Xenopus tropicalis: one gene and its partners. The protein of the gene in region 4 binds, or shares a complex with, the protein of the main gene of each other region. Links are inferred from orthologs where the notes say so. Each region holds a gene or a part of one and is shown on either strand. Other genes may lie near its edges.

Evidence for each region.
Region 1: tmem231 (region 4) and b9d2 share a complex: the UniProt entries of both Homo sapiens proteins name them as parts of the tectonic-like complex. The link is inferred for Xenopus tropicalis from reciprocal best matches to the Homo sapiens genes TMEM231 and B9D2.
Region 2: tmem231 (region 4) and tmem107 share a complex: the UniProt entries of both Homo sapiens proteins name them as parts of the tectonic-like complex. The link is inferred for Xenopus tropicalis from reciprocal best matches to the Homo sapiens genes TMEM231 and TMEM107.
Region 3: tmem231 (region 4) and tctn1 share a complex: the UniProt entries of both Homo sapiens proteins name them as parts of the tectonic-like complex. The link is inferred for Xenopus tropicalis from reciprocal best matches to the Homo sapiens genes TMEM231 and TCTN1.
Region 5: tmem231 (region 4) and tmem216 share a complex: the UniProt entries of both Homo sapiens proteins name them as parts of the tectonic-like complex. The link is inferred for Xenopus tropicalis from reciprocal best matches to the Homo sapiens genes TMEM231 and TMEM216.
Region 6: tmem231 (region 4) and cep290 share a complex: the UniProt entries of both Homo sapiens proteins name them as parts of the tectonic-like complex. The link is inferred for Xenopus tropicalis from reciprocal best matches to the Homo sapiens genes TMEM231 and CEP290.
Region 7: tmem231 (region 4) and tmem67 share a complex: the UniProt entries of both Homo sapiens proteins name them as parts of the tectonic-like complex. The link is inferred for Xenopus tropicalis from reciprocal best matches to the Homo sapiens genes TMEM231 and TMEM67.

What each region holds. Positions count from the first base shown.
Region 1 is NC_030684.2:79,325,353-79,330,157, reverse strand, and holds the start of b9d2 (B9 domain-containing protein 2), read left to right. Parts: upstream 1-1,702; 5' UTR 1,703-1,773; coding exon 1,774-1,819; intron 1,820-2,588; coding exon 2,589-2,678; intron 2,679-3,398; coding exon 3,399-3,524; intron 3,525-3,700; coding exon 3,701-4,017; 3' UTR 4,018-4,805. UniProt on the Homo sapiens protein: Component of the tectonic-like complex, a complex localized at the transition zone of primary cilia and acting as a barrier that prevents diffusion of transmembrane proteins between the cilia and plasma membranes.
Region 2 is NC_030679.2:144,521,498-144,525,710, reverse strand, and holds part of tmem107 (transmembrane protein 107), read left to right. Parts: intron 1-3,391; 5' UTR 3,392-3,399; coding exon 3,400-3,486; intron 3,487-3,829; coding exon 3,830-3,897; intron 3,898-4,213. UniProt on the Homo sapiens protein: Plays a role in cilia formation and embryonic patterning. Requires for normal Sonic hedgehog (Shh) signaling in the neural tube and acts in combination with GLI2 and GLI3 to pattern ventral and intermediate neuronal cell types.
Region 3 is NC_030677.2:162,894,597-162,898,809, forward strand, and holds part of tctn1 (tectonic-1 precursor), read left to right. Parts: intron 1-571; coding exon 572-659; intron 660-1,007; coding exon 1,008-1,114; intron 1,115-3,571; coding exon 3,572-3,592; intron 3,593-4,213. UniProt on the Homo sapiens protein: Component of the tectonic-like complex, a complex localized at the transition zone of primary cilia and acting as a barrier that prevents diffusion of transmembrane proteins between the cilia and plasma membranes.
Region 4 is NC_030680.2:64,239,402-64,244,280, forward strand, and holds the start of tmem231 (transmembrane protein 231), read right to left. Parts: upstream 3,272-4,879; 5' UTR 2,813-3,271; coding exon 2,674-2,812; intron 2,590-2,673; coding exon 2,423-2,589; intron 252-2,422; coding exon 123-251; intron 1-122. UniProt on the Homo sapiens protein: Transmembrane component of the tectonic-like complex, a complex localized at the transition zone of primary cilia and acting as a barrier that prevents diffusion of transmembrane proteins between the cilia and plasma membranes.
Region 5 is NC_030678.2:178,905,627-178,910,468, reverse strand, and holds the start of tmem216 (transmembrane protein 216), read right to left. Parts: upstream 3,256-4,842; 5' UTR 3,180-3,255; coding exon 3,167-3,179; intron 1,678-3,166; coding exon 1,661-1,677; intron 395-1,660; coding exon 301-394; intron 80-300; coding exon 1-79. UniProt on the Homo sapiens protein: Part of the tectonic-like complex which is required for tissue-specific ciliogenesis and may regulate ciliary membrane composition.
Region 6 is NC_030679.2:54,339,458-54,343,670, forward strand, and holds part of cep290 (centrosomal protein of 290 kDa), read right to left. Parts: intron 3,882-4,213; coding exon 3,774-3,881; intron 2,922-3,773; coding exon 2,722-2,921; intron 2,063-2,721; coding exon 1,849-2,062; intron 248-1,848; coding exon 110-247; intron 1-109. UniProt on the Homo sapiens protein: Involved in early and late steps in cilia formation. Its association with CCP110 is required for inhibition of primary cilia formation by CCP110.
Region 7 is NC_030682.2:127,750,226-127,754,438, forward strand, and holds part of tmem67 (meckelin), read left to right. Parts: intron 1-274; coding exon 275-431; intron 432-1,080; coding exon 1,081-1,204; intron 1,205-1,797; coding exon 1,798-1,903; intron 1,904-2,572; coding exon 2,573-2,629; intron 2,630-2,707; coding exon 2,708-2,806; intron 2,807-3,558; coding exon 3,559-3,657; intron 3,658-4,213. UniProt on the Homo sapiens protein: Required for ciliary structure and function. Part of the tectonic-like complex which is required for tissue-specific ciliogenesis and may regulate ciliary membrane composition.

The DNA of each region.
Region 1 (4,805 bases), on a different chromosome or scaffold from region 4:
CACCTCCAGGTCATTAATAAACAAGTTAAAAAGCAAAGGCCCAAGGACTGACCCCTGCGGTACTCCACTAACCACACTGGTCCAATTAGAAAATGTTCCATTTACAACCACTCTTTGTACTCTATCCTTCAGCCAGTTCTCTATCCAATTACAAATATTATGTTCTAGGCCAATATTCCTTAATTTGATCATTAACCTTCTGTGAGGTACTGTATCAAACGCTTTAGCAAAGTCCAAGTAGATGACATCAACTGCCATTCCAGCATCGAGGTTCCCACTCACCTCCTCATAAAAGGCGACTAAATTAGTCTGGCAAGATCTGTTACGCATAAAACCATGCTGGCACAAACTAATAGTATTGTGAACTGCAATGTATTCAAGTACCCTATCTTTCTTTTGGTCTCTATCTGTACCTGTCAGTAACAGTGCACTCTCTCAAAAGAATGCTCTTTTACAAGGAAATGGGCAGAGACAAATGGAGAGATCTGATAAGAAATGCATACTGAGCATGCAGAATAAATCACTCAATGAGAAAGGGGTAAAATGGGGCAAACAGTTATCTTGTGAAGCAACAGACAGGATCTTTTAAAGACACTAAAATAACAGCATATGTTCCGCAAAAATTGGCTCATTACCAGCTTGTCTTGCAGTAAAGCAGCTTTAGCAATCTTTTATAACAAAAATACTAATGTATTTCTTGCATGAATTGGATCAACGACACCTTTTCAGATAGGGATATCCTAAATAAATTCTTCTGCGTTCATGTATCCAAGTATCTCCCTACTTCTTTTAAAATGTAATTAAATATTTTGGCCACTATGTCTGTCATAAAAGTGAATGCGTTTCGTCTGACGCTGCCATTCAAAGTTTCCAGCATTTTAAAAGCTGGGTTCTTTTTGGTTTAAAGGCTTTACATTTGGGGGTGTGACTACAAAGTGGGAGCAGACAAACGCATTTTCAGCATGGCCATGCTAATTCTCATTACACCCCCCTCAGCCACTAACTTGCTGAACTTTAAATGGACGCTAATATGTCTCTTGTATACGTAATGCCTCAGAACCCGACACGACACGACGCCCTATATCTGTTTAAGCAACGTTCCATTACACTATGTTGTATTATAAATCACAGATTGCAGTATTAATAGCTATCGTTTAATCCCAATACTTCGTCTCCCACAGACTATCAGTCTCGATCAGTTTACACATTTCGCCTACAACAGACGTCACTTCCGCCGGTGAACCAATCAGATCTGCTGTATGCAACGGTTGCACAGCAACAGGCGGAGTCTACCAAAGTGAGAATTAGAAGGGGCAAAAAGCTAAGACAAGGAGCCGGTTTTCAGAGGGGGTCCGGTGAGATTTATGTTGCAGTTGTGCGGTTAGGGGAAGCATTTATAGCGGGATGTAAAAGAGGGCGAAAAATATTTAGAGCTAATAAACTGGTAAAGCGCTTACATCTTACCCTACTGCGGTGTTATATACGCAAAGGTAGATATGATTCGCAGGTTGTCGGTATGGAGTCCTGATGATTTTGCACCATCATCCAAATATGTATCGTCAGTAATTTATATGCTCATAGCACACACAATGGCGCCAGTGTAGGGAGTGTAATGGGGGTATTACGTTTTCCAGCAGCTGATAGTTGACAAACAGAGGCTCTTGGCTGATTCTGTAAGTGTAAGCTGTAGGGCCCTCAGTTTAGGGATTCTATTTGTTGATTCTATAGTGCCTTCACTGTCAGTGTTCTATGTAGTTATGAAATTCACTGTACATGAATAGCCACACTCATGAATTACATTACAGCCCAACTTGTGCAGGTATAAGTAGGTTTTTTTTGCTTGATGTTGGTCATTGACCTGGTTAGTTACATATGTAATACACTATGCGGTAATGACAAATAAAATTATGCTTTCAAATTGGTTTTATTGGATGTGTAATGAACAGTTTGGTTATGACATGCCACGTCTTACAGGGCTTATTGCTGGGGGTTAGCTACATATACTAATAATATACGTAGTAATAACACTGCGCTAAAAGTAGGTAATAAATAAAATGTATATGTAATACTAATGTTCCTTCTAAGCTATGCATTTGTGGATATTTAAATTACGATGTCAGGGCACATGCATTAGAACCGCCCTTTTACATTATTGAGGCCACTAGAAAATAATGGGGGATGTCATATCCTTGAAATGTATTAATCATTATATTTTGGAGGGACCACAAAATAAAAAAACCTAAGTAAGGGATGAAAAATAAAGTTTTACTGTAATAAATTGTGGTGCGCAAAAAGAATTTTGTATGTAAAGGCATAATTTAGAATTTTTTTAGACTTGCGCATAGTTTTTATAAAAGTGCTCAAATAGGTTTAGGAAGTAGGCACAAAAGAAAGTTTTTGCACACACAGCCAAGAAAAAAAGGAAAACTTGGTCACTGAGGCTTGTATATTTATATTGGCGTCAGATGGTATAAGAAGTGTAATTTCTAGCTGTTATTGTTTGTTGGACCTACTTCTAATAAAAATTATAATTTAGTTTCTTCACAATAATGATGTAACTGAAATATATTTTACCTTTCCTCCTACAGTAATGGCAGAGGTTCACATCATAGGGCAAATTATTGGGGCTAGTGGCTTCCCCCAACACAGCCTGTTTTGCAAATGGGGAGTACACACAGGTAAGAGTCATCATTTTGCATTTTAAATGGATCTATATATCAATTGTACATAAAAAAAACACAGTTTTGTTTTTTTGTGGAGCTGTACGCTGTTGAAAATGTGGTATATGCATTCAGTTGGCCCCACTTTTATTCTAGTACAGGTATGGGATTCCTTATACGGAAACCCGTTATCCAGAAAGTTCTGAATTATGGAATGCCCGTCTCCCATAGACTCCATTTTAATCAAATAATTCAGAATTTTAAAACAGATTTCCTTTTTCGCTGTAGTAATAAAACAATACCTTGTAATTGATCCCAACTAAGATATAAATAATCCTTATTGGATGCAAAACAATCCCATAGGGTTTAATTAATGTTTTATTGATTCTTTAGTAGATTTAAGCTATGGAGATCCAAATTACCCTTGGTCCCGAGCATTCTGAATAATGGGTCCTATACCTGTAATATATTTTTAAGTTTGTGATGTGAAGAAGAAATATATGCGTCAGGTGACCCCTGTATTTATTCTAGTAATGTGAAGTGAAGGAGAAGGCTGTGTTTGTATAACTTAAAGCCCATTTTTGGCTTTACTTTACATAAACAATATAAAAGAGTCTTAAAGGAAATGTTAATGTTTTGAGAAAATCTTGATATATAAGATACTGGTGTGGCTCTATCTATTATTAACCATATGATATTTCTATTTGTAATAACATCGTTCCCTACCATAACATTTAGGTGGAGCCTGGAAGCTACTTTCTGGGGTTGTGGAAGGCCAGACACAAGTAGATCATCCACAAAATGATGACATGGCATTCTGGTCTCACCCTATTGACATGCACTTTGCTACTAAAGGATTACAAGGTAAAGTATGATAGAATAAAGAATAAAATAAAGAATCTGTTAAAATTATTGTAATCACATTGGAGCCCCTGCACAGGCTCCCAACCCTAACCCTACCCATTCAAATGAACACACTTTACCTACCAAAGGTGCAAAGTACATTATGTACTTTAAATGCTTGTATTTCCCCCACTTAGGTTGGCCAAAACTTCACCTTCAAGTCTGGCATCAGGACACATTTGGTCGTAATGAACTTTATGGTTACAGCTTCCTCCACATCCCTTCCACCCCTGGTACTCACTCATTGCTTAGCCCAACCTGGCGACCCCTGGGAACATGGCAGGAGCAAATATGTCAGATGTTTGTTGGCGGCGGCCCACAACTTAAGTCATCCAGCCTGATTTATGGAGGGTCTGATCGCTACCGTCTGCAAACAGTGGCCATGGGGCAAGTACATCTCCAATTAACGGTCATACTCAGGAACTTTGAACGATACGGGGTGGAGTGTTCTTGATTTTGCAGAGTGCTAAGAACTTGTTCCTGGTTTTCCAAATGATTATTTTTGGTGCCAAGGACATATGCACTGAAATAATCAGCAAGACATTTTATGGAATTACTTGTGAACACCTCAAACAGAATCCTGCTCAGTATTTAATGAGCCCCTTTTCTCAACCCTTCTTAATAAACCTGATACTTCATATCTCTTCTGTACCATAATCTGGTAACATTTATCCTCCTCCCCTTCTACTAACATCTCTTACACTTTCCCAAATTGTCTGTTACTTCTGATATTAGCCATTTTCCTCATTGTATCACTTTTTTACTATCCTTGCTTTGTTTTCAGCCCTGTTATAAAGCACACTCCCTTTCTCTCCTTTCATTTTCATAATACCTCATTCACATCAATCACTTACCAGAATACATTTATATATAAAGTAAATTGAATGTTTTTGTTTTTAAATACTTTTCAGGCTCTTTTGACGATTATCTTAAATCAGTTATAATGTGAATGTGATTCCAATGTCTCTGCTGTCAGCTGTGCTATATAAACCATGCACAGAAAATTGCCCTGTTTGACATAGGTTAGTTATCTGAGAAATTGTAAAATGTGCCTGCTCTTACTAAATGGTTTTTACTGCAAATATGTTTTTTAGATAAAACTATATTTTAAGAAAAAGAAATGGTAAGCGAGTATTCTTTGCTGTAGGAAATAATGTTGCAATTTGTAAGCCACAAGAAGGCTCTGTAGGTAACTAGAATTATGCTATTATTTAAATATTACAATTAACGGGGAGAACCCAT
Region 2 (4,213 bases), on a different chromosome or scaffold from region 4:
GGATATTAATGAGCTGGAGAGAGTGCAGAGACGTGCAACTAAACTGGTTAAGGGGATGGAAGATTTAAACTATGAGGTTAGACTGTCGAGGTTGGGGTTGTTTTCTCTGGAAAAGAGGCGCTTGCGAGGGGACATGATTACTCTGTACAAGTACATTAGAGGGGATTATAGGCAGTTGGGGGATGTTCTTTTTTCCCATAAAAACAATCAACGCACCAGAGGTCACCCCTTTAGATTAGAGGAACGGAGCTTCCATTTGAAGCAGCGTAGGTGGTTTTTCACGGTGAGGGCAGTGAGGTTATGGAATGCCCTTCCTAGTGATGTGGTAATGGCAGATTCTGTTAATGCCTTTAAGAGGGGCCTGGATGAGTTCTTGATCAATCAGAATATCCAAGGCTATTGTGATACTAATATCTACAGTTAGTACTAGTGGTTGTATTTATAGTTTATGTATGTGAGTATAGATTGGTAGGTGTGGGTTAGGTGTGCTGGGTTTACTTGGATGGGTTGAACTTGATGGACACAGGTCTTTTTTCAACCCTATGTAACTATGTAACTATGTAACTATATATTATATGAGAGGGTCCCTGGCCTGTATATACAGTAATAGGAGTCAGGGAAGCCTGTATATATTATATGAGAGGGTCCCTGGCCTGTATATACAGTAATAGGAGTCAGGGAAGCCTGGATATATTATATGAGAGGGTTACCGGCCTGTATATACAGTAATAGGAGTCAGGGAAGCCTGGATATATTATATGAGAGGGTCCCTGGCCTGTATATACAGTAATAGGAGTCAGGGAAGCCTGGATATATTATATGAGAGGGTTGCCGGCCTGTATATACAGTAATAGGAGTCAGGGAAGCCTGTATATATTATATGAGAGGGTTGCCGGCCTGTATATACAGTAATAGGAGTCAGGGAAGCCTGGATATATTATATGAGAAGGTCCCTGGCCTGTATATACAGTAATAGGAGTCAGGGAAGCCTGGATATATTATATGAGAGGGTCCCTGGCCTGTATATACAGTAATAGGAGTTAGGGAAGCCTGGATATATTATATGAGAGGGTTACCGGCCTGTATATACAGTAATAGGAGTCAGGGAAGCCTGGATATATTATATGAGAGGGTTGCCGGCCTGTATATACAGTAATAGGAGTCAGGGAAGCCTGGATATATTATATGAGAGGGTTACTGGCCTGTATATACAGTAATAGGAGTCAGGGAAGCCTGGATATATTATATGAGAGGGTTACCGGCCTGTATATACAGTAATAGGAGTCAGGGAAGCCTGGATATATTATATGAGAGGGTTACCGGCCTGTATATACAGTAATAGGAGTCAGGGAAGCCTGGATATATTATATGAGAGGGTTACCGGCCTGTATATACAGTAATAGGAGTCAGGGAAGCCTGTATATATTATATGAGAGGGTTACCGGCCTGTATATACAGTAATAGGAGTCAGGGAAGCCTGTATATATTATATGAGAGGGTTACCGGCCTGTATATACAGTAATAGGAGTCAGGGAAGCCTGTATATATTATATGAGAGGGTTGCCGGCCTGTATATACAGTAATAGGAGTCAGGGAAGCCTGTATATATTATATGAGAGGGTTACCGGCCTGTATATACAGTAATAGGAGTCAGGGAAGCCTGTATATATTATATGAGAGGGTTGCCGGCCTGTATATACAGTAATAGGAGTCAGGGAAGCCTGGATATATTATATGAGAGGGTTACTGGCCTGTATATACAGTAATAGGAGTCAGGGAAGCCTGTATATATTATATGAGAGGGTCCCTGGCCTGTATATACAGTAATAGGAGTCAGGGAAGCCTGTATATATTATATGAGAGGGTTGCCGGCCTGTATATACAGTAATAGGGGTCAGGGAAGCCTGTATATATTATATGAGAGGGTTGCCGGCATGTATATACAGTAATAGGAGTCAGGGAAGCCTGTATATATTATATGAGAGGGTTACCGGCCTGTATATACAGTAATAGGAGTCAGGGAAGCCTGTATATATTATATGAGAGGGTTGCCGGCCTGTATATACAGTAATAGGAGTCAGGGAAGCCTGTATATATTATATGAGAGGGTTACCCGCCTGTATATACAGTAATAGGAGTCAGGGAAGCCTGTATATATTATATGAGAGGGTTGCCGGCCTGTATATACTGTAATAGGAGTCAGGGAAGCCTGGATATATTATATGAGAGGGTTGCCGGCCTGTATATACAGTAATAGGAGTCAGGGAAGCCTGTATATATTATATGAGAGGGTTGCCGGCATGTATATACAGTAATAGGAGTCAGGGAAGCCTGGATATATTATATGAGAGGGTTACCGGCCTGTATATACAGTAATAGGAGTCAGGGAAGCCTGTATATATTATATGAGAGGGTTACCGGCCTGTATATACAGTAATAGGAGTCAGGGAAGCCTGTATATATTATATGAGAGGGTTGCCGGCCTGTATATACAGTAATAGGAGTCAGGGAAGCCTGGATATATTATATGAGAGGGTTACCGGCCTGTATATACAGTAATAGGAGTCAGGGAAGCCTGTATATATTATATGAGAGGGTCCCTGGCCTGTATATACAGTAATAGGAGTCAGGGAAGCCTGTATATATTATATGAGAGGGTTGCCGGCCTGTATATACAGTAATAGGGGTCAGGGAAGCCTGTATATATTATATGAGAGGGTCCCTGGCCTGTATATACAGCAATAGGAGTCAGGGAAGCCTGTATATATTACATGAGAGGGTTACCGGCCTGTATATACAGTAATAGGAGTCAGGGAAGCCTGTATATATTATATGAGAGGGTTGCCGGCCTGTATATACAGTAATAGGAGTCAGGGAAGCCTGTATATATTATATGAGAGGGTTACCCACCTGTATATACAGTAATAGGAGTCAGGGAAGCCTGTATATATTATATGAGAGGGTTGCCGGCCTGTATATACTGTAATAGGAGTCAGGGAAGCCACGTACCGGTGGGCCCCTTCCCTCACGTACCGGTGGGCCCCTTCCCTCACGTACCGGTGGGCTCCTTCCCTCACTTACCGGTGGGCCCCTTCCCTCACGTACCGGTGGGCCCCTTCCCTCACGTACCGGTGGGCTCCTTCCCTCACGTACCGGTGGGCCCCTTCCCTCACGTACCGGTGGGCCCCTTCCCTCACGTACCGGTGGGCTCCTTCCCTCACGTACCTGTGGGCCCCTTCCCTCACGTACCGGTGGGCTCCTTCCCTCACGTACCGGTGGGCCCCTTCCCTCACGTACCGGTGGGCCCCTTCCCTCACGTACCGGTGGGCCCCTTCCCTCACGTACCGGTGGGCCCCTTCCCATTTTTTCTCTTTTATTTTCCCTTCTGCAGGTTTTATCATGTCCGCCATCAGCAGCCTGGTGCCCTCTCGCTTCCTCACACTCACGGCTCATCTGGTCATCGTCATCATCATCTTCTGGTCAAGGGTAAGCAGCACCCAAGCTGGGGTTTGGCCAATGTAATGAACACCTCAGTGCCCTTTAAAGGGGTAGTTCACCTTAAAACTAACTTTAAATATGACATGGAGCCTGATATTCTGAGACAATTTGCAATTGGTCTTCACTTTTTTTTTATTTCCTGTGGTTTTTGAATGGTTTAGGTTTTTGTTCAGCAGACTTTCAGCATGTATCTGTTGCTAGGGTACAGATTACCCTAGGAACCAGGCAGTGGTTTGAATGAGAGACTGGAATGCTGCTGCCAGGCCCCACTCATCACCAATCTGTCCCTGCTAGCATGGAAACTGATAATATCTCAATTTTGTCTTATTAGGATAATAATGTCCTTGCCTGCTTACCCATCGACTTCACACCGCAACAGTATTCATCCCGGGATACAGAGTAAGTCCCAGCCTGCCCTACATGGAAAGTCGCCTTACTGTCATGATTTTTATGGGGGGGGATATCACTCCAACTTGCAGCGCAGCAGTAAAGTGTGCCTGAGTCTGAGCTTTCAGCCAGCGCTACACATTAGAACTGCTTTCAGCTAACCTATTGTTTCTCCTACTCCCATGTAACTGGAGGAGTCCCAAGCCGGACTTGGATTTCTTACTATTGAGTGCTATTCTGATACCTACTGGGAGCTGCTATCTTGCTCCCTTCCCATTGTTCTGCTGATCGGCTGCTGGGGGTGAGGGGGGGATATCACTCCAACTTG
Region 3 (4,213 bases), on a different chromosome or scaffold from region 4:
GTCCCAAGATGGGAAGTCCTAGGTCATTGCTGCTACTCAGATGTTGATTTTTAGGGTTTAGCTCTCTTTTAAACATTCGGTGTCTTGAAAGATGGTTGGTTTATGTTATTATGTAGCATGTTTGTCTGCAGGTGGGGTGTATATTATACGATGCCCTTATACACTGTATATACATGCTACTCCACTAAGATAACGTGCATAATCATAAAAGTTCAGGCTTTTGCAAGTGCAATGGCTAAAGACTTCTATGCAAAAAAACTCTCTGACAGGTGAGACACTATTTTTATGAAGGGGATGGTTTTTGAATTCCCTACCAAAGTCCATGATACCATGTGGCCTACATGCTGGTTGTTTTCTGATCCATCGTCAATGTCATTAGGCTTGTATTATTGTTCTCACCATGATGTTGGTTTTCTTTCCATTGCCAGCAGGGTTAGTTTATGATGGTGAATTAGTCCCTGTCAGTGATATATTATATTTGATGTATTGCTACTGTATTGAACTGTTTTTGTATTTTGTATACATAGTTTTATTGTAATTGTTTATTTAGATATTTGTCCCTTTTTAACAGTATGGGTCTCCTCTCTTAACTGCCAGTGCGTACCTATCCCTTCCTGCTCCACTTGGTACTAAAGAATGTACAGATCGTAACCCTGTGGGTAAGAATCCTTACTGTCTGCGGAGAGTGTATTAGATAGCCTGTTTCCTCATAACCTGTTATTTCATCTATACTTTGGTCAAAAAGCTGCTTGATTTTAAATGTATAACTTACAGCACTGTGTACATAAGTTGCACTATATACATTCATACATACCAGGCATAAATGCATGCAACCATCAGCAACTGCCAATGATCAGTTAAAGTTTCCCAAGGTATTCCTACAGTAAATCTGTTCTGGTCCTGAATGGACAGGTTTCATTAACATAGGTCTTCAGATTGCAGTTGCTAAACTACAATAATTTTCTAGCTTATATTTACATGACCTTTATCTGTTTGTTTCTTTATAGGTTTCCTAGTAAGCCAGGATTCTACGTGTACTTGGAACGTATCACTAAACAATTGTTCAGTGCCTGCATTGACTCTTGCCACTTACACAGATGTGAGGATTATAGCTGTAAGTACTGGCTGCAGGCATTCTGGCTATCCTGCCCATTAGAATTATAGCTGTAAGTACTGGCTGCAGGCATTCTGGCTATCCTGCCCATTAGAATTATAGCTGTAACTACTGGTTGCAGGTATTCTGGCTATCCTGCCCATTAGAATTATAGCTGTAAGTACTGGCTGCAGGCATTCTGGCTATCCTGCCCATTAGAATTATAGCTGTAAGTACTGGCTGCAGGCATTCTGGCTATCCTGCCCATTAGAATTATAGCTGTAAGTACTGGCTGCAGGCATTCTGGCTATCCTGCCCATTAGAATTATAGCTGTAAGTACTGGCTGCAGGCATTCTGGCTATCCTGCCCATTAGAATTATAGCTGTAAGTACTGGCTGCAGGCATTCTGGCTATCCTGCCCATTAGAATTATAGCTGTAAGTGCTGGCTGCAGGCATTCTGGCTATCCTGCCCATTAGAAATATAGTTGTAACTACTGGTTGCAGGCATTCTGGCTATCCTGCCCATTAGAATTATAGCTGTAAGTACTGGCTGCAGGCATTCTGGCTATCCTGCCCATTAGAATTATAGCTGTAAGTACTGGCTGCAGGCATTCTGGCTATCCTGCCCATTAGAATTATAGCTGTAAGTTCTGGGTGCAGGCATTCTGGTTATCCTGCCCATTAGAATTATAGCTGTAAGTTCTGGGTGCAGGCATTCTGGCTATCCTGCCCATTAGAATTATAGCTGTAAGTACTGGCTGCAGGCATTCTGGCTATCCTGCCCATTAGAATTATAGCTGTAAGTACTGGGTGCAGGCATTCTGGCTATCCTGCCCATTAGAATTATAGTTGTAACTACTGGTTGCAGGCATTCTGGCTATCCTGCCCATTAGAATTATAGCTGTAAGTACTGGCTGCAGGCATTCTGGCTATCCTGCCCATTAGAATTATAGCTGTAAGTACTGGCTGCAGGCATTCTGGCTATCCTGCCCATTAGAATTATAGTTGTAACTACTGGTTGCAGGCATTCTGGCTATCCTGCCCATTAGAATTATAGCTGTAAGTACTGGCTGCAGGCATTCTGGCTATCCTGCCCATTAGAATTATAGCTGTAAGTACTGGCTGCAGGCATTCTGGCTATCCTGCCCATTAGAATTATAGCTGTAAGTACTGGCTGCAGGCATTCTGGCTATCCTGCCCATTAGAATTATAGCTGTAAGTACTGGCTGCAGGCATTCTGGCTATCCTGCCCATTAGAATTATAGCTGTAAGTACTGGCTGCAGGCATTCTGGCTATCCTGCCCATTAGAATTATAGTTGTAACTACTGGTTGCAGGCATTCTGGCTATCCTGCCCATTAGAATTATAGCTGTAAGTACTGGCTGCAGGCATTCTGGCTATCCTGCCCATTAGAATTATAGCTGTAAGTACTGGCTGCAGGCATTCTGGCTATCCTGCCCATTAGAATTATAGCTGTAAGTACTGGCTGCAGGCATTCTGGCTATCCTGCCCATTAGAATTATAGCTGTAAGTACTGGCTGCAGGCATTCTGGCTATCCTGCCCATTAGAATTATAGCTGTAAGTACTGGCTGCAGGCATTCTGGCTATCCTGCCCATTAGAATTATAGCTGTAAGTACTGGCTGCAGGCATTCTGGCTATCATGCCCATTAGAATTATAGCTGTAAGTACTGGCTGCAGGCATTCTGGCTATCCTGCCCATTAGAATTATAGCTGTAAGTACTGGCTGCAGGCATTCTGGCTATCGTGCCCATTAGAATTATAGCTGTAAGTACTGGCTGCAGGCATTCTGGCTATCCTGCCCATTAGAATTCTGGCTGTAAGTACTGGCTGCAGGCATTCTGGCTATCCTGCCCATTAGAATTATAGCTGTAAGTACTGGCTGCAGGCATTCTGGCTATCCTGCCCATTAGAATTATAGCTGTAAGTACTGGCTGCAGGCATTCTGGCTATCCTGCCCATTAGAATTCTGGCTGTAAGTACTGGCTGCAGGCATTCTGGCTATCCTGCCCATTAGAATTATAGCTGTAAGTACTGGCTGCAGGCATTCTGGCTATCCTGCCCATTAGAATTATAGCTGTAAGTAAGGGCTGCAGGCATTCTGGCTATCCTGCCCATTAGAATTATAGCTGTAAGTACTGGCTGCAGGCATTCTGGCTATCCTGGCCATTAGAATTATAGCTGTAAGTACTGGATGCAGGCATTCTGGCTATCCTGGCCATTAGAATTATAGCTGTAAGTACTGGATGCAGGCATTCTGGCTATCCTGCTTGTTAGGACTCTGTCTCTATCTGGTAAAGTCTAAAATGTCTTAATCTTAGCTTCTTAATTTAATGTTATAAGAGCCACAGTTGTGCTCCATGCTTTCATTATATCTCAGGGTGGAATTTTTATATTACCTCTTGAAGGTTTAAAAATACTACATTTAAATATTTTGTTTTGTTTTTTTTGTGCAGACACCAAATTCTGGAAACCAGGTGAGACAATTATTGTTTTAAATTTAATTATTTAGTATAAATGAAAGGGACATGTATAGCTTCTAATAACCCATGTTAGTTGTTAAAAGTTGTGTCTCCATACAGAGGAGAAGGTTACCCAGGCTTTTATACACTAGGGATGCACCGAATCCAGGATTCGGCCAAGATTCTGCCTTTTTCAGCTGGATTCAGCCAAACCAAATCGTTAAAATCATGTGAATTTTTGCCACATAAACACAGAAGTTGAACATTTTTCACCATGAGTGAAGTGTGCGGTTTTCAGATCCTGGGAACAGCGTGGTTCACCCAGATCCTAAAATACATCATTTTAATTTACATAAATTTCTTTCCTGGATGTTTTTACCTTTCATGCCGTACCTTGCATATACATAATGCGGTATTGTACACTAACTGGTGATTTCTACTGCTGCTGTGTTGTTTGGAATCAAGGGATACATATAGCAGAGTGCATATTTTTTTGACATAATATGCTGAATTGAGTCTAGTCTGCATGCTTTGCTCTCACATTAGTTGTTTAATACATTGATCTTGGATATCAGACATGCCATACCTTAGAGCAGAGAGAAGAGCAAATAGGCACTCCACAGGAGCAGACCAATC
Region 4 (4,879 bases):
GTTTTCTTCATCTGCTTGAAAATCAGATGATGTTTTAGGTTACATTCATATAAAAATATAGCAAATGTTAAAGGGTTCACAAACTTTCAAGCACCACTGTGCATATACTCTTCTGTACTCACACTGAGCTGGTAGGAGAATGTCAGAATGAGCTGCACACCATAAATATTATCAGTGGGTTGCAGAGGAAGCTCCAGCTGGAAGTTCAATAAATCCATTTTACCATCTTGATTTCTGTCTTCCTCTCTTGCCTGTAAATAAACACCATAATGTAAGCAATAACAATGCCTTGCTAAGCTACTGAAACCTCTAAATAATTCTCCTGCTTAACTAAAATTACAGAACAACAAATCCTAAACTCAAATTTTGTTTTATGAGAAACATATGTATGAAACAGTGAACTCTAACTTTCATACATTGATAAATATGTTAAAAAAAAAACTTAAAGAAAAAAATTGAAATATTCTGTTTACTCAAGTATTCATTAAAGGTGATTTCTTTTTTTTTTTTCCTTTTACTGGGAAAAGGATGGTTGCAACTGTAGAATGCAGTTGGCCTTACAGAAACATGAAGCACAATCCCTCCCATATCAGATGTTCTATGTAATATGTAAGCACAACGTAATGATGCATGAGACACCACTAAGGAATGAGCCATTGTAGCTAGTTAATAATTGATTATCAAACCAACAACATAAACAAGGGCCTTTTATATATAAGGAATAGAAGCTGAAACTGTACAAAGGTGCCTATACGAATGCTATAAAAACATATGTCAGAAGTGCATTTATGCAATAATGTGACATCATTATTATGCACATCATCCATGACACTTACCATATCAGTACATAGGAACAGAAAATATTACAAAAAAGATTATCATGCATCTGGATAGTCCCACAAAGTTTTAAATCTTTCTGATATTGATTTTCCTTTCCCTAAAGCCTGAAGCATTACAGATTCACATTGGTCCTTGTGCTGCTGAGGGTCTTAGGGTGTGTGGATAAATATAGGTGCTATGCAGATGTACATAATGTTTTATATGTTAATTAAATCTAATTTTGGACCAAATGTTGTTTTTTTTTTAACTTGGACAATTAGTATTCCAAGTTAAATCAGACAGACAAATTTACTGCCAACTGTTTATGGGTATCTACTTGTCAATTTAGTGGTAATCACCTATAAAAACACCCACATTGCTGGGCTCAATACTTATTAATGCATGATGTATATACAGGTAAGGGACCTATTATCCAAAATGCTCGGGACCTGGGGTTTTCCGGATCTTTCCATAGTTTGGATCTCCATAACTTAAGTCTGCTAAAAATCCTTTAAATATTGAATAAACCCAATAGGATTGTTTTACCTCCAATAAGGCTTAATTACAGAGAAAAAGGAAATCATTTTTAAAAATTAGAATTATTTGCTTATAATGGAGTCTATGGGAGGTGACCTTTACATAATTTTGAACTTTCTGGATAAGGGGATCCCATATCTGTACTGCACAGCCAATGCAATGTATTCCACATGCATGTGCAGAAACCATTGAAGTCTGCAGCATGCAAGTGAACTGAATACCAATTAGGCATTCCTTTGGCGAGCTACTGTTTCTGGCACCAAAGCTAAAGTTAATAAATAACTGGGGTTTTTATAATCAGACCCAAAATATGACAAATTGTTTAGTGTCCAGTCATTATTTTTAGAAAGAAGGGAAACCTCGTGTTCAAGGTAGATAATTCTAAATAGAACCTGTAGCAGCAGATTTATTAATGTGTGACATTAGAGCACACTACTGACTGGGGTTTTCCCTAAATGTTTTGCTGCCAGGAGGGATGGGCAGGAAAAGAAAATCTTGGTAAGTATGAATTTATTATCTCTTTTATCAGTGACCTGTGGGACATATAGAGACATATTTCCTGAACATCATCTGGCAGCATAACATTTGGGTTTTTCCCTAAATGTTACGCTACGAAGAGGGATGGCCAGGAAAAGAAAATCTTGATAAGTATAAATTGATTTTCTCTTTTATCAATGGGTGAGTTCATTTGATAAATACGTTTCTAAAAATCCCATAGTAAATCAATCAGGGTTCATCATAACAAACGTAAATCTACTATTCATAATTGTTCTCCTTGAACAGCTACTAACAGTGCAGTAGGTGAAAAACAAACCTTTTTTATATCAGCTTGGTACTTTTAAATAGTATCAGCTTGGTACTTTTAAATAGTACACCAAAAATAATTAATACTGTAGTTGCTGCCATTTCTCTGATTCTGTTGAGAAATGTATCATTTAGTGTAGCAAATGTAAAACACCAGGTAATTTAAAAAAATTATATTTCTGGCATACTATTTAAAAACAACTAAACTGAAAAAAAATGTTTGGAAATGAACTGCCCCCTGTGATCAGAGAATAAGACTTACGGATATATGGGGCAATCTAAGTTTGTCTCCTACTAAGTTATTAAATCCCGGATATGTGCTCCAAGCCAGATAATTTCCAGTGGTGCTACTCAAAGCAATTAACAAGACATCGTATTGGAAGCGGACATTGGGCTGTTCTTCATAGGTACTTGTTTTTAACCAGAACCCTGTAAAGACATATGGTGAAATTAAAAGAAATATAAAGTACAGTGCCTGCATGGAAATGTTTCTGCAAGAAATCAAAGTCTTACCATAGCTGCGAAATGCAACCAGTAAGGGAGGGATGTAGGTGAGTAACAGGACTATAAGTAAAAACAGCGTGGCTTTGGAACAGATGCTGGATCTGTATCTAAGGAGTGCTGGGTGAGAGTAAACTTCATACAGAGCCATGGCTTGGGCTTGCTAAGAACTCACTAAAGTGAAAAATAAGCTCACAAACGTTATGCCGCTTTAAAATAAAATTTGTGTTCCCTTTACACTTCTGTAAGTTTCTGTAGTTCTCCGATGCAACAGGTATTTTCGTCTTCTCATGTCCCGTTCAGCGATAGATATAAACAAGAGCTGCCGAGCAGAAAGAACTATGGCTGATTCTGTATGTGCATTTTGGTCTTTCTATAATGCCCAGCTAAACTCTCCTGTTTCAGCGCACCCACCAGCAGCAACCAGAGACACAAACTCCCGGACAGACTCCCGCCTTCCCTTTCTAATACTAAGGCAGAACCGCACTAGAACTGAAGGAACATTCGCGCCCACCAAGGCTTCTGTCTCCATAAGCAATGTAGCTATGGCAACAGACGCCAGCGCCCGGAAGCATTTCGGAGACACCGGAAGTGACTGGTAGCTCTTTCGTGATATGGAAAAGTGTCTACGTATTGTGTGTGATAATTGTTCCTTTATTGGATATCACGATTTCCGTTTAAACTGGCAGCAAACTCAATTGTTAAACCTATATATGAGATCCAAGCAGGGAGAATGTAATAAATGACAGAATGTCTTCAGTAACTATCAGATATTTGTTTTCAAACATCTTATGAGTTAAGGCTACCTGGTGGCTGGCACTTTGAAGAGCAATCCTGCAACATGCATTTATTAGAAAATGCACCCGGTTATCAGGTGATCTGGTAATCATGTGTAAAGGTGGCCATACACATGCCGATTTTAGCTCCCTTTGACCATTCAGCAGCTTATCGGCAAGTGTAGGGGCACCAACGACGGGCTAGCCCGACCGACATTAAAGGTGGCCATACACGTGGCGATCTGATGATGTTTCGTACGACCATCGGTCGCACGAAACATCGTAAGATCCGCCACACACCATTCAGGGCTGAATCGGCAGGTAAGGAGGTAGAAACAATAGGATTTCTACCTCCTTCTGCCGATTCAGCTCTGAAAGGAGAATTTTGGTCAGGCGCCTTCTATGGCGCCCGATCAAAATTTTCAAACTGGTCCGATCGGCGAGTCGTCCAATATCAGCGGTCGACATCGGTCGACTCGCCGACATGCCATACATGCACCGATTATCGGACGAAACAAGGTTTCGTACGATAATATCAGTGCGTGTATGGCCACCTTTAGCCTGAAATCTCCCAGATATTGGTCGGGCAGGTTAAAAATTTAGTCGGAATTGATGCAGTCCCCGAACTGACTGCGCCCATTACCGTCATTCGATCTTTTCGCCCCAGAGCCAAACGACCGAATTAGCCTAAATTCGCCCGATATCGCCCACCCGTAGATGGGGTAATCGGGAAAAGATCCGCTCGCTTGGCAACCTCGCCAAGTGAATGGGTCTTAACGTGTATGGGCACCTTAAGTTGCATGTATTAAAATGCTGTAAAGAAAGCACTTGCATGTAATCCAACCATGCCAGAAAACCTTTTGTGCCTGTAACTGCAACATTCTGCAGCGATTTCTGGTGGCCCCAAGGATATTGGAATTGTGGAAACAAAAGTGATGATTTGTGGGAAAAAACATGGCAGCTGCTGAAAAAAATCTATGTTCGAATGTTGTCATATAATATATAGCCACATCCTACAACTGTGTTACAGTAAAACTTTTATGGCTAGGTAGGCCAAAGGGGTGAAAATATATATATATTTTTTTACACTTTACAGCAGGGGTCCTCAAACTTTTTAGACAGGGGGCCAGTTTGGTCTCTCAGACTGTTGGGGGGCCAGACTATAGTCCTCAAACTAGCCCCACCTTCCCCCGTGTCCTCAAACTACAGCCCACTCTTGCTGCCTGCTCCTCGCTCCCTGTTGCGGGGTCAAACTATGGTCCGCTCCTGCGTCCTCCCACTCCCTGCTCCCCCAACTCCCTGCTCTGTCCTCTCTCTCCCAGCTCCCCCGCTCCCCACTGTGTCCTCCTGGTCCCTGCTCCTCCGCTGCATCCTCACCCCTGGCAGCAGGGTAAATTACCTTGGGGGGTCCAGATCCGGGCTGCGGGCCGTAGTTTGAGGAT
Region 5 (4,842 bases), on a different chromosome or scaffold from region 4:
GAGACCTCAATGCCCAGATAGAGAAAGAGCAGGAATGACTCGAGGATCAGATTAGATGTGGGGTACGGCAGGATCAGCCCTGTGGGAATGCAAAAGTCTCCCATCATTCCCTGCGCTAATCCCTTCTAGCCCCACCCACTACTTGAGTCACAGACTCCCTGCCCCTCCCCTCAGTGCGACAGAAGCCATACACCCCTGGGCAGGACCATTTGTGCCAATAACACTGAGCTTGGTCCCCCCAATGTTGCCCCCCGCGGTTCCTGCCTCCCTGGGGTACATGCACAGCCAATAGGAACTCACCTTTATAGATAAAAATGAGAGTCTCGATGATGAAGTAGGAAGCACAGTACCAGCCATTGAGGAAGAAGAGAACCTCCAGCGGCGTGGAAGAGAGCTGCTTGTGTTCAGGAAAAACTGTATAATGCGACTCATGCTACAATGTACCGAGTAATGTAATCCCACTCTGAGTATCACTCATGTATTATAGGGATACTGTACCCCCTACTGTAAATGATAAGGATATTAGCAGTCACTGAGGGGTTCTGTGCCCCCCATATAAAGGCACAAGGCTGCAGGCTGAGTTATACAGGGAACTCTGAGTATCACTCATGTATTATAAGGGATACTGTACCCCCTACTGTAAATGATAAGGATATTAGCAGTCACTGAGGGGTTCTGTGCCCCCCATATAAAGGCACAAGGCTGCAGGCTGAGTTATACAGGGAACTCTGAGTATCACTCATGTATTATAGGGATACTGTACCCCCTACTGTAAATGATAAGGATATTAGCAGTCACTGAGGGGTTCTGTGCCCCCCATATAAAGGCACAAGGCTGCAGGCTGAGTTATACAGGGAACTCTGAGTATCACTCATGTATTATAAGGGATAATGTACCCCCTACTGTAAATGATAAGGATATTAGCAGTCACTGAGGGGTTCTGTGCCCCCCATATAAAGGCACAAGGCTGCAGGCTGAGTTATACAGGGAACTCTGAGTATCACTCATGTATTATAAGGGATAATGTACCCCCTACTGTAAATGATAAGGATATTAGCAGTCACTGAGGGGTTCTGTGCCCCCCATATAAAGGCACAAGGCTGCAGGCTGAGTTATACAGGGAACTCTGAGTATCACTCATGTATTATAAGGGATAATGTACCCCCTACTGTAAATGATAAGGATATTAGCAGTCACTGAGGGGTTCTGTGCCCATATAAAGGCACAAGGCTGCAGGCTGAGTTATACAGGGAACTCTGAGTATCACTCATGTATTATAAGGGATAATGTACCCCCTACTGTAAATGATAAGGATATTAGCAGTCACTGAGGGGTTCTGTGCCCCCCATATAAAGGCACAAGGCTGCAGGCTGAGTTATACAGGGAACTCTGAGTATCACTCATGTATTATAAGGGATAATGTACCCCCTACTGTAAATGATAAGGATATTAGCAGTCACTGAGGGGTTCTGTGCCCCCCATATAAAGGCACAAGGCTGCAGGCTGAGTTATACAGGGAACTCTGAGTATCACTCATGTATTATAAGGGGTAATGTACCCCCATGAATTGTTAAAGGAATATAAGAAGCAGTGGGCGGGGCCAGGCTATACCTGTACAGGTGACTTGGTACCGTCTCACCTATGTAAGTGCCAAGGATACAACTCCGCGCCTTCTCCCTGGGAAGCAAACGCACAGTTAGGGGGCAGCACAAGTCACATGATACCAAGCAGAAGACCCAGTGGGGGCCGGGGGCCCCTCCCAGCACTCAGAGCAGCCATGTTTGGTCTCCCCCTGTAGGTGCCCATAATATACCCACATACCTGCCCGTAATATACCCACCCGCCTGCCCGTAATATATCCACCCGCCTGCCCGTAATATACCCACCCGCCTGCCCGTAATATTCCCACCCGCCTGCCCGTAATATACCCACCTGCCTGCCCGTAATATACCCACCTGCCCGTAATATACCCACCTGCCTGCCCATAATATACCCACCCGCCTGCCCGTAATATTCCCACCCGCCTGCCCGTAATATACCCACCCGCCTGCCCATAATATACCCACCCGCCTGCCCGTAATATTCCCACCCGCCTGCCCGTAATATACCCACCCGCCTGCCCATAATATACCCACATACCTGCCCGTAATATACCCACCCGCCTGCCCGTAATATACCCACCCGCCTGCCCGTAATATACCCACCCGCCTGCCCTCAATATACCCACCCGCCTGCCCGTAATATACCCACCGCTGCCCGTAATATTCCCACCCCCTGCCCGTAATATTACCCACCCGCCTGCCCGTAATATACCCACCCGCCTGCCCGTAATATACCCCAACCCGCCTGCCCGTAATATACCCACATACCTGCCCGTAATATACCCACCCGCCTGCCCGTAATATACCCACCCGCCTGCCCGTAATATACCCACCTGCCTGCCCGTAATATACCCACATACCTGCCCGTAATATACCCACCCGCCTGCCCGTAATATACCCACCCGCCTGCCCGTAATATACCCACATACCTGCCCGTAATATACCAACCCGCCTGCCCGTAATATACCCACCCGCCTGCCCGTAATATACCCACCCGCCTGCCGTAATATACCCACATACCTGCCCGTAATATACCCACCCGCCTGCCCGTAATATTCCCACCCGCCTGCCCGTAATATACCCACCCGCCTGCCCGTAATATACCCACCCGCCTGCCCGTAATATACCCACATACCTGCCCGTAATATACCCACCCGCCTGCCCGTAATATACCCACCTGCCCATAATATACCCACCTGCCCATAATATACCCACTTACCTGCCCATAATATACCCACCTGCCCATAATATACCCACCTGCCCGGGGAATGTGCGCTATTGTGGGTAACAGGGAGAAGTCGCTGCTTCTCTGGGGATGCCGGGAATTGTGGTCTAACAGCCCCCCCCCCCCCCCCCCAGTTGTAGTTGCACACTAGCGGTGCGGGTCCCTATGCAGCAGGTAAGGGGACAGCGTAGCGGCATCGGGTGCAGGGGATGCTGGGAGTTGTAGTCCCGCTGATCAGCTGCACCTCTTGCATAGGGGACACAGTAGCCCCACGCTTACAGGCGCCATTACAGGGAGCAGGGGGGCCGCTCTTCCATCCGCTGCTTCGCCTCCCGCTTACCTTTGGGCGCCATCTTGCTGCTCTAAGGACGCCTGTGACGTCACTCCCTGGAAACCTCCGCAACACGTGACCCCCTGAGCCGCCTGTGCGCCGCGGGGTCCTAGCGCCTTCCCCCCTAACATTCAGGGCCACTAAATAACTGGGACTGGCTGGGCTTCTGGGAACTGTTCAATGGAGAGTGTACCTGCAGCCAAATTAGATTGCTAGCTCCTCTGCCCAGGGAGACAGTAGGGCAAGATGGAGACAGTAGGGCAAGATGGGGACAGTAGGGCAAGATGGGGACAGTAGGGCAAGATGGGGACAGTAGGGCAAGATGGAGACAGTAGGGCAAGATGGGGACAGTAGGGCAAGATGGGGACAGTAGGGCAAGATGGGGACAGTAGGGCAAGATGGAGACAGTAGGGCAAGATGGGGACAGTAGGGCAAGATGGAGACAGTAGGGCAAGATGGAGACAGTAGGGCAAGATGGAGACAGTAGGGCAAGATGGAGACAACCCTTTATAACACTGAAGAGGTTATTCCAAACACAAGAGGCAGTATGAGCACTAATGACTGCACGGGGGGCAGTAGAGGAGCGAGGGTGGGAGAGTTGGGGGCCGATGCTGCTGTCTCTCAGTAGTGATGCGCAGTCGTTATTAATTGGGGCTGAGATGCGAGACCCTCGCTTCAAGAGCCGGATGTTCCCACCCACGGTTTCCTCGTCTCACTGCTACTCACCTAATTATGTTACTCACAGTTACTTCATTATAGAACCCATAGCCCAATAAAGGGTCAACTTCCCCTTTATATTTACTTTTAGTAACACATGGGCGGAGTTACAGGTCACTGATCCCCACCGTGATCCCCACCCTTTTCCCACCCTGTTTCCTTCTTGATCCCCACCTTGATCCCCACCCTGATCCCCACCCTTTTCCCACCCTGATCCCACCATTTTCCCACCCTGATCCCCACCCTTTTCCCACCCTGTTTCCTTCTTGATCCCCACCTTGATCCTCACCCTGATCCCACCCTTTTCCCACCCTGATCCCCACCTTGATCCCACCCTGATCCCACCCTTTTTCCACCCTGATCCCACCATTTTCCCACCCTGATCCCCACCCTTTTCCCACCCTGTTTCCTTCTTGATCCCCACCTTGATCCCCACCTTGATCCCACCCTGATCCCACCCTTTTTCCACCCTGATCCCCACCCTTTTCCCACCCTGATCCCCACCCTTTTCCCACCCTGATCCCCACCCTTTTCCCACCCTGTTTCCTTCTTGATCCCCACCTTGATCCCCACCCTGATCCCACCCTTTTCCCACCCTGATCCCCACCCTTTTCCCACCCTGTTTCCTTCTTGATCCCCACCCTGATCCCCACCCTGATCCCCACCCTTTTCCCACCCTGTTTCCTTCTTGATCCCCACCTTGATCCCCACCCTGATCCCACCCTTTTCCCACCCTGATCCCCACCCTTTTCCCACCCTGTTTCCTTCTTAATCCCCACCCTGATCCCCACCTTGATCCCACCCTTTTCCCACCTTGATCCCCACCTTGATCCCCACCCTGATCCCACCCTGATCCCCACCCTGATCCCCACCCTGATCCCCACCCTGATCCCACCCTGATCCCCACCCTGATCCCACCCTGATCCCCACCCTGATCCCCACCCTGATCCCACCTTGATCCCCACCCT
Region 6 (4,213 bases), on a different chromosome or scaffold from region 4:
TTTTGGTTGTTACATTATTTCTGGGGGTTAAGCTCTAATTTTTATTCCCACTATATTATTTGTAGTGAAAATTATTTCTCACGTTACAATGTAAGATAATAGTATTTACCTTTAAATCTTTCGTTTCTTTGTCTACAATTTGTTGAACATTTATATTCTCTTCCTTTTGTGCTGCAGCAGCAATAATATGTTGTTCTGCTTGGGAGGTCATCTCTGCCCTAAGGGTCAGAAGAGCTTTACTTAAAGCCTGTAGAAGAAACCATCGTAATTAGCACATTAGGTTGAATGGTTAACAGTAGACTGTTTATCACTTCAATTAAACATTATATTAACCGTGAAGTAAGAATTTTAATACCTAGATTAACCAAGCTAAAGATCAAAATGAAAAATAAAATTAGAATAAAATACAAATTAAACCAGCGACTACTTTCTACTTTGCTCTTTTTCTACTGTTCACTAGCAGGGGGCAAACATAAGGTATGTTTCCAATAGTAGCTTGGTGCATTTATTGCCCAATATATAGGTAAGAGGTACAGTTTTTATTCCTGACCCATTATCCACCAGATACAGAACATATGATTCTCTGCACAGGTAGAATACAAAGGATGGTTGTGCAAACAATACAGGGCAAAGAGGTGCTGGTGTATACCTACCCAATCAGAGTAACATAAGACTTTCCACAAACTACTTGAAAACAATTAATACTTCTTGTGCTCTTGAACAGTAGGCAGGTGGCAATGATTAGTGGATTTTTTTTTTTTTTTTGGCCTGTGTCAAGTAGCAGCAGGCAAAACCACAAGAACTGACCTTTGCTTTGTAATTCTCAAAAACAACAAAATGAAAGTTTATCGTGACTTTTAATTATTAAAGGACTAAATATTTATACTTTTTAACTGTTCCTCAGCGTATAAACCCCATTGAAGTGTGCTGAGTTAGAACACACTTGTGAATATTCCCGAAACAAAGGCTAAAAGCCAACTACCAAATGATTTTTAATGTGATATGTTTCTCTTTTGAAATTAAGTTCATGCATGAACTACAAAGAGCTCCCAGTTATTGGCAAGAATCTAATCCCCAGTCTCATTAATAGGAAATTAATTAAGTTAAACTTCAGCTGATTAATATAGAAATGTACCTTAGACAAGTTACAGATACTCCTGCATAATAAGTACCATGTCTGATACAACAGATAATTTGAGGGGCACGGCCAGTGGAGAGGGCCCAAACTCCAGGATAATGCCTTCTTAAGTGTTTATGTTAAGTTGCAAACTTCATGACTAGTTAACAACAGGCTGTATTTGAAGTTATCACTAATGAACCTTATAAATCAGCCCAAACACATTCTAAATTTGTTCGTATGCAGGTCTGGTGACTGGTGGCACACTTTATGACTAAATGTAAGTTGGTCTGCTCATGCTGCTCGAACAACCTCAACCTTTCTGAGAAAGCTTTTTATTAGATATTGGAACCCTGTTGGTATGATTTGTTGCAGTTTAGCCACAAGGACATAGTAAGGTTGGATGCTGATATTGTGGTCTCAGGTCTAGCTTGCAGTTGGGTTGGGGTCAGTGTTCTGTTCTGGCCAGCCATGTTCATCCACTCCCAACTAGGCAAACCCAAACTGTACCCACCTAGTTTGTGGACTGGGGTCATGGAATGCTTATTAATGCTATTGTGTGCTGTAGCCTTAATGAAGGTTTCCAACGGAACCAAGGGCTCTAGCCCCAACCATGAAAGACAGTTCCAGACCAATATTCCTCTCCAATAATGTTTACAGTACATACATCATCTATTAATCTATTATCTTATTAATAGTCTTTAAAAAAAATCCATAGATTTACAATATACCTGTTGCTGTTTTTCCTTAAGTGCTACTTGGTTTTTCAGACGTTCCACAAGATTCTTCATAGTTGATGTTGGAGCTCGGGTATTCGCCTCTTTTTGAGCCTCCAGTTCAGTGTTAAGATAATTAATTTCTTTCTCTGTTTCAGCAATACGAGCTCTTAAATCTTCAGCATCGTTCTTCAGTTTTTTAATCTCCACAATGTGCTTCTCTTCAAGCCTGTTATTTATACATAAAATAGATATATTGATAGAACAATATAACATAAGTTAAGCAACTTATCACCGATTTCAAGTAACAAATTTCAAGTAACCTTTTTCACCGGCTACGTAACCAACATGAGAAACAGGTTCAAAAACTTCATAATTATGTATAATGTTTCTCTGTCTCTAGTAGCTACATTTATTTAGTATCTGTATTTATTAACCACAGTAGCTCTGGTTATGCAAAAGCACAATTCACTAATAAAAAATCATTTTAAAGGCTTAATCTTGAAAAAAATGTAAAAAAAGGTTTTGATGGAATTCTTTAAAACTACTTGAGACCGCAGATATCTGCAGAAAAGCAGAAAAGGCTGACTGCTACAGTATTTTCTTGTAGCCTAAAAAAAAAAATTCAAGGCTCATTTTCTGTAGAACAATAAAGTCGTAAGGCCACAAGCTGTAGGTCTATTCTATGTTTAGAATCTAGTTTACACAAAATTGATCCCTTTAAATCTAGTTTGTTACACGTCAAACAAAACAAATATTAATAAAACATATATTGTATTGATAAGTGATAAAAGTAAGGTCAAACCTGCACTGACTGCTCACACCACATTTGCTGAAAGGACTGCTGTATATTTTCTAAAAAATTTACAGAATTAATACGATATAGACCTGGTTTTGCTGTTTTCAAATTCATTGACTTTTGCTATCGTGATCTGTTTCTGCTTCTCCAGCTCCGATGTTGCTTTCCTCAGCTGGTTGGACAGGGAAGCCAGTGAGTTTTCTTGTTCAGCAACTGTCTGTTCCATTTCAGCCAAACGAATTAAATTTGCACTTGATGGAATTTGGAGTGAAGGTTTTTTCATGAACTCCTACAATGTACAACAGCAGAAGGTATGAAGGTTATGGGGTCTTAATGGCCTTAAAGAGGTTGGGTCGGCTGACTTTACTGTTAATAGTTAATACTTTATACATAATACAAGTCAAAAGAATCCAATACTTCTAGAGAAAACATAGAGAGTCATAGTGATTACCACTGTTTACCACTGCAGAGAATATTAAAATAAAACATCTATCTAACCATTAACCAAAATCAAACTCTGAAAAGATTAAAATTTCAGTGAATTAACTTAGTTTTGATCTTTAAATATAAATATATATATATATATATATTAAATAATGTACCCTCTATCGTATATTATTATGTGATATTATAAGTCACAGAGGAGTGTCATGACCTTATAAAATCACAAAGCGAAGGCCGGTTAACCTCATATTTTACAACAGGGGGTACATTATTTATTATAATACACAATTTTCAGTGAGTCATGTGACGGAAATTACATCACTAAGCTCATTTATAAGCTCCAATTATAAAGATACAATTTACAGGATATTCATGACTCTTGTGTATTATATCAGGATATATGATCACTTTATTGCAACCAAATTTCATCAAGATTTAAAAGTAATAATGCATTTTACTATTTTTTTTATTTTTGATAGATATAAACTTTTATCTGTGTGTTGCAATTATAGATATATGACATCCTAATGTTAAACAGAATTGAAAATATATATAATAAGTGCCATTGCTTATATTTTACATTATAACAGAACATTTGAAAACTTTTAAATCTGAATTCTGTTAAGATAAGTACAAGACTAAAAAAAAGGAAAAATACACTGTCTCTTTTTGAAAAAAAAAACATTAAAATACTTACTTTAGCAGCTTCTTTAAAATTGTTAATGGAAGTATCTGAATAGAAATTCAGTTTATGATGCAATTCTTTAAGGTCTTCTGCATGCTTCTTTGTAACTTCTTCTTGCTCCTAATGTAAAAATTTAAAAAAAAATATTCTAATATTATATAAATAGAACATTTTATTAAACTAATATACTACCATAATACTGAGCAGGACATGATGAAGCTCTGAAAGTATGAGAGAAGTATTGCTACTGCCTTTACTGCTGGACCTCAGTATACATTTAACACTGAATGCTGAAGTAGGTGAGTCTACTCTAGTCAAGACTTGCTAAAAAGCCTAAAGCTGGACATACCCTAATAGATCTGCTTGTTTAACAATGTTGAAAAAATGAGTTAAATCATGCTGATCCAGTTGTTTGACGCAAGGACTACATAAAAAGTTATACATTTCTGTCT
Region 7 (4,213 bases), on a different chromosome or scaffold from region 4:
TTCTAATTAGGATCCAGCTGAAAGTAAAGAATAAGGAGCTGCCACTTTACCAATGTATCTTCTTTTGGAATGTACTGTAGCAATGGCTTTCAGTGGAAACCAGTTTGGACACCTAATCCTTATTTATACTTGCATGTACAGTACATTGCAACTGGGCAGTATGTGTATTTATGTGTGTGTGTTCCTGTGTGCCCACAAAGAGATACATAACTACACATACACACACAGTATATTTTGCTACCCGTGTTCACTTGGTCATATCATTCCTTTGCAGTGTAGAATTAGTGTTTCTAAGCTCCTGCGTGACCACCCCGAGCCTGTGTTCTATGATGTGTATCTGGCCTACCCAGGGAATGAGAAGCAGCAGAATCTCCTTCCTGTGCCAGTCCTGAACCTGAACCTCCAGTACCATGAAATGTTTGTTAACCAAGGTACATTCTATGGACATTTATATGATTGATGTATGTGATTATACATAAACCAGTTCAATTAGATGGGATCCCTTTAAAGGGATTTTGTCATGATTTTTATGGTGTACTTCTTATTTCTAATTACACTGTTTAAACTGCACATTTTAAAATATGTGTTGTATTTTTTAACCAGTATCAAAATTACATAATATGTAATTTAACAAGGTATAATTTTTTGATCCAAAATTAGCGGCTTACTGTCCCATGGGATGGTGTTGCTTAAAGCCAATGCAGTCCTGATGGTACTGCAGGATGTCTGTGATGCACCAGTGTTATAGACACAAAGATAGCCTAGCAGTCCACATTATACTAGCTTACAGCCAGTTATAGTGTTGATTTGACAACCCTTGGCAAACATTTTTATCACCAATATTACTGTTGTGTCAACCTTGCACTTTGTTTATTTGAATGTGTCTCATATTTTTACAAAAGGCTGGTGTTTTGCCACTTCTCTTTCGGTAGTAGGCAGATAAACAGCACTAGGAATTCCAAACAGTGACACTCTTGGGGGGGGTAGTGGAACTTTTAGTTCAGCTAGGGCTTCAGGTTGGGGCACTATTGGCGTAGAATTTTACTTCCCCTTCACTAAACATAATTTGTCTTGTTACAGGAGACAACATCAACAACTGGCTCTTGACTCGCCGAATCTTCCTGGTGGATACTATTAGTGGGCGAGAAAATTCTCTGGCCGATCCTCCAAGGCTCATTAGAGTGGCTAGCAAAATCACAATCAGGTAGAGTGTAAATTTTAGCACAATAGCACAAATTTTAGCACAAGTTTGTCATGTTATTGCGCATTACATTTTTATAAGCTTGAAGATAGTACAAGAGAGAGTATAAAAAAAAGTATTAGTATCATGGTTAATTTATTTGAATTATTGTTATTATGCTTTATTTGTAGAATGCTTACAAGTTTATGCAGGGCTTTACAGAGACTGCTTACTTATTGCAGAGCCAATTAATTAGCCTACTAACATTCAGACTCTTTTGGATAGTGCTTAGTTCAGAATCAAGATCAGGACACCAGTGTTGGAAGTACATTATTGAATCAAGCACTCTAAAGGTAATTTACTACTGGTACAGCACTAGTGCTTGAGCACTTATTGAACGTCATAGAGCTTCATAAATGAAGCACTTGGGCAAAATGCCTTGTGCCAGGCCGAGCAGGTGCAAGTAGGGGGTGTGGATGCCCATGGACGACCCTTGTGCACCTCTGTTTTAAATAGCAGGCGAAAGATGTACCTAGGAGCATAAGGTTTGCTGTCAGATGCAACTCTTTGCACTCTATTTGGGAGCAAAACACTGACTATATGTTCATTTTTTACAGCATTAGACTTGTACCAGACACTTACAAGGGAATAATTTACCCACCTCTCATGACTGTGCAATACACAGATGTACAGCTGCAAAATCCAGAGTCCCAAATTGTCAAGGTAAGATTGTGCATCAGGTAGAGATCAAAAGCACACAAGGCTGCTAACAAGTAGATGTTTTGATCAATTCCTTTTCCCACTATTCCTTTCCTTTTTGGCAATTCCCTTATAAGCTGAGTTGTCAGTCTTCTTCCCAATGAACCTCTTCTAATGAACAAGCTCTCCTGCTGTTCTGGCTTATATAGCAACTGAAATAATGTGTGTAAACGTGGCCATACACAAGACTGAGTTCGCAGTTTATGGCCATATAGGGGGCCTGGTTATGAAAATTGGAAGTGACTCTGCCACCACTTTGCCTTTAAAGCAACAGCACCACTGACTGCTTTCAATCTTGTGTAACCCAGTGCCATATGGGCGACATCCTTTCTCCAACAAAACAGCCTTAAGGTAGCCATGCACAGGCCAACCCCATACAGTATATTAAAGTTAGATCTCCCCCCCCCTTCCCACTTCCTACTAGAATATGTCAGCTTACAGTCCTGCACCTGATTTATTATTAGTACTTAGTTAAGGTGATGAAGTTTTATAACTAGAAAGATGATGTCTACATAGATAAACTCTGCTTAAATGAACCTACCAAAGGATTTTTTTCTTGGAAATCAATGGTGTGGTTATCTCTTGTATCATAGTGCTACTTTTCATGATGTTCTTTATTGTTTCCGGTTATAGGTTTCCTTTTCAGTAAATTATGAAATGAGACAGTTGGACTCGTTGAAAAAAACTGATGTAAGTCTTCCTTGTTTATATTACCTATTGTTCTATGTATCATCGTGGTGTTGATTAACCCCTCTCTTGGTATGTTAGGTGGCGATAGGGGTGCTAGGAGGCCTGGCTGTACTTTGGTCTCTTCTGAAAACTGCAGCTTGGAAGAGAAGAATTGGGAGCTCATTTATTGACATGCAGGTGAGTGATACATTTTCTTTTGCTGAGTTAATAAATCATCTTCCTCCCATATGCAGGGTCTGGGTAACCTTCAGTCATCATCTGGTGTTATTGGTGTGCTTTGTGGAAAGCATGTATCACCCTGTATGAGACCTTATTCCTCATATCTATCCTTATGTACATTAAATATGGATCTTTATCCACTTACCCAGAATTCTATTTAAATTATCTGATTGGTGCACACATCAGGGGTGGTCTTGTTGGTAGGGGTAATCCAATTACTATATCTCAGTTTGGAGGGAGGTCTTGAAGGACTAGAGTCTTCTTACACTACCGGGGTATCCTAAATATAACAGCCCTACAAAACTACCTTAGGCCCATATGTTAGTAGTGTTTAGGTTAGCGTGACCGGATCACTTGAAAATTTAGGGACGCTTTTAATAAATACATGTTGCAATAAACTGCAGTTCAGCCTAGCTAGCTGGATTTTTTAGACATGTCCCTGAATATTCAAGTGGTCTGGTCAACCTTGTTTAGGTGCATTGCTCAAGAAAGAACAGTATTCAGTATTCAAAAATGTTCCCCTGATTTTAATTATAATTTTATCGTACTGTAATCTCTTGCGAGTAGGCCCTCTGATCCTATTTTTAATTCTGTAATCCTTGTTTCTTAAATTATTATAAGACCCCTTGTTACAAATGAGTGTACAGGGCGCTGTATAAAAATGATAATAATGATGAAGTATTATTCATGCGGATTCATTTTAATTCCAGACCGTGATTCACTTTTTAATATTCTATGCTGGGGCCTTGGCAGATGTGTTTTTTCTCGTGACAGTTGGCACAGGGTTTTATTGGCTCATTTTGTTCAAAGTAAGTACTTTACTCTGCATTACAACACTTAGTTTTTATGAAGCAATTACATAATCATTTAGGTGTTCCTTTTAAATCCATGAAAAAGGTTCTGTAGCCATACCAAAGCCGTTGGAGATAGTTGTGCTTTAAAATCTGCTTGTGGAAGCATAGTGGACAGGAGGGGGGGTCATCAGATGATCCCAATCCTGGTGGCACCCTGGTGGAATTATGTCAATATGATTGTGTTCTGACTTGGGCAGTTATAAACCAGACTTTTATTTGGAGGGGTTAGAATTATAAGTCTGCCTCCTAATACATTCCTAATACATTATTATATGCATATAATCAATGTAACAGGCCACTTATTTGTACAGCACTAGTATTCTCTAATATAGTTTCTAATTTAGTATGGGATTTTAAAGGACAAGGAAAAACAAAACACACTAGCCCAGTGTATTATTCATCTCCGCACTGTACCACCGTGTTTCTTCATTTTTCCAGGGACCCTTGTAGCAGGCCGGGACCGACACAGCATAGTGAGATATCAGACTTTACTATATTGCACACGTGCCAG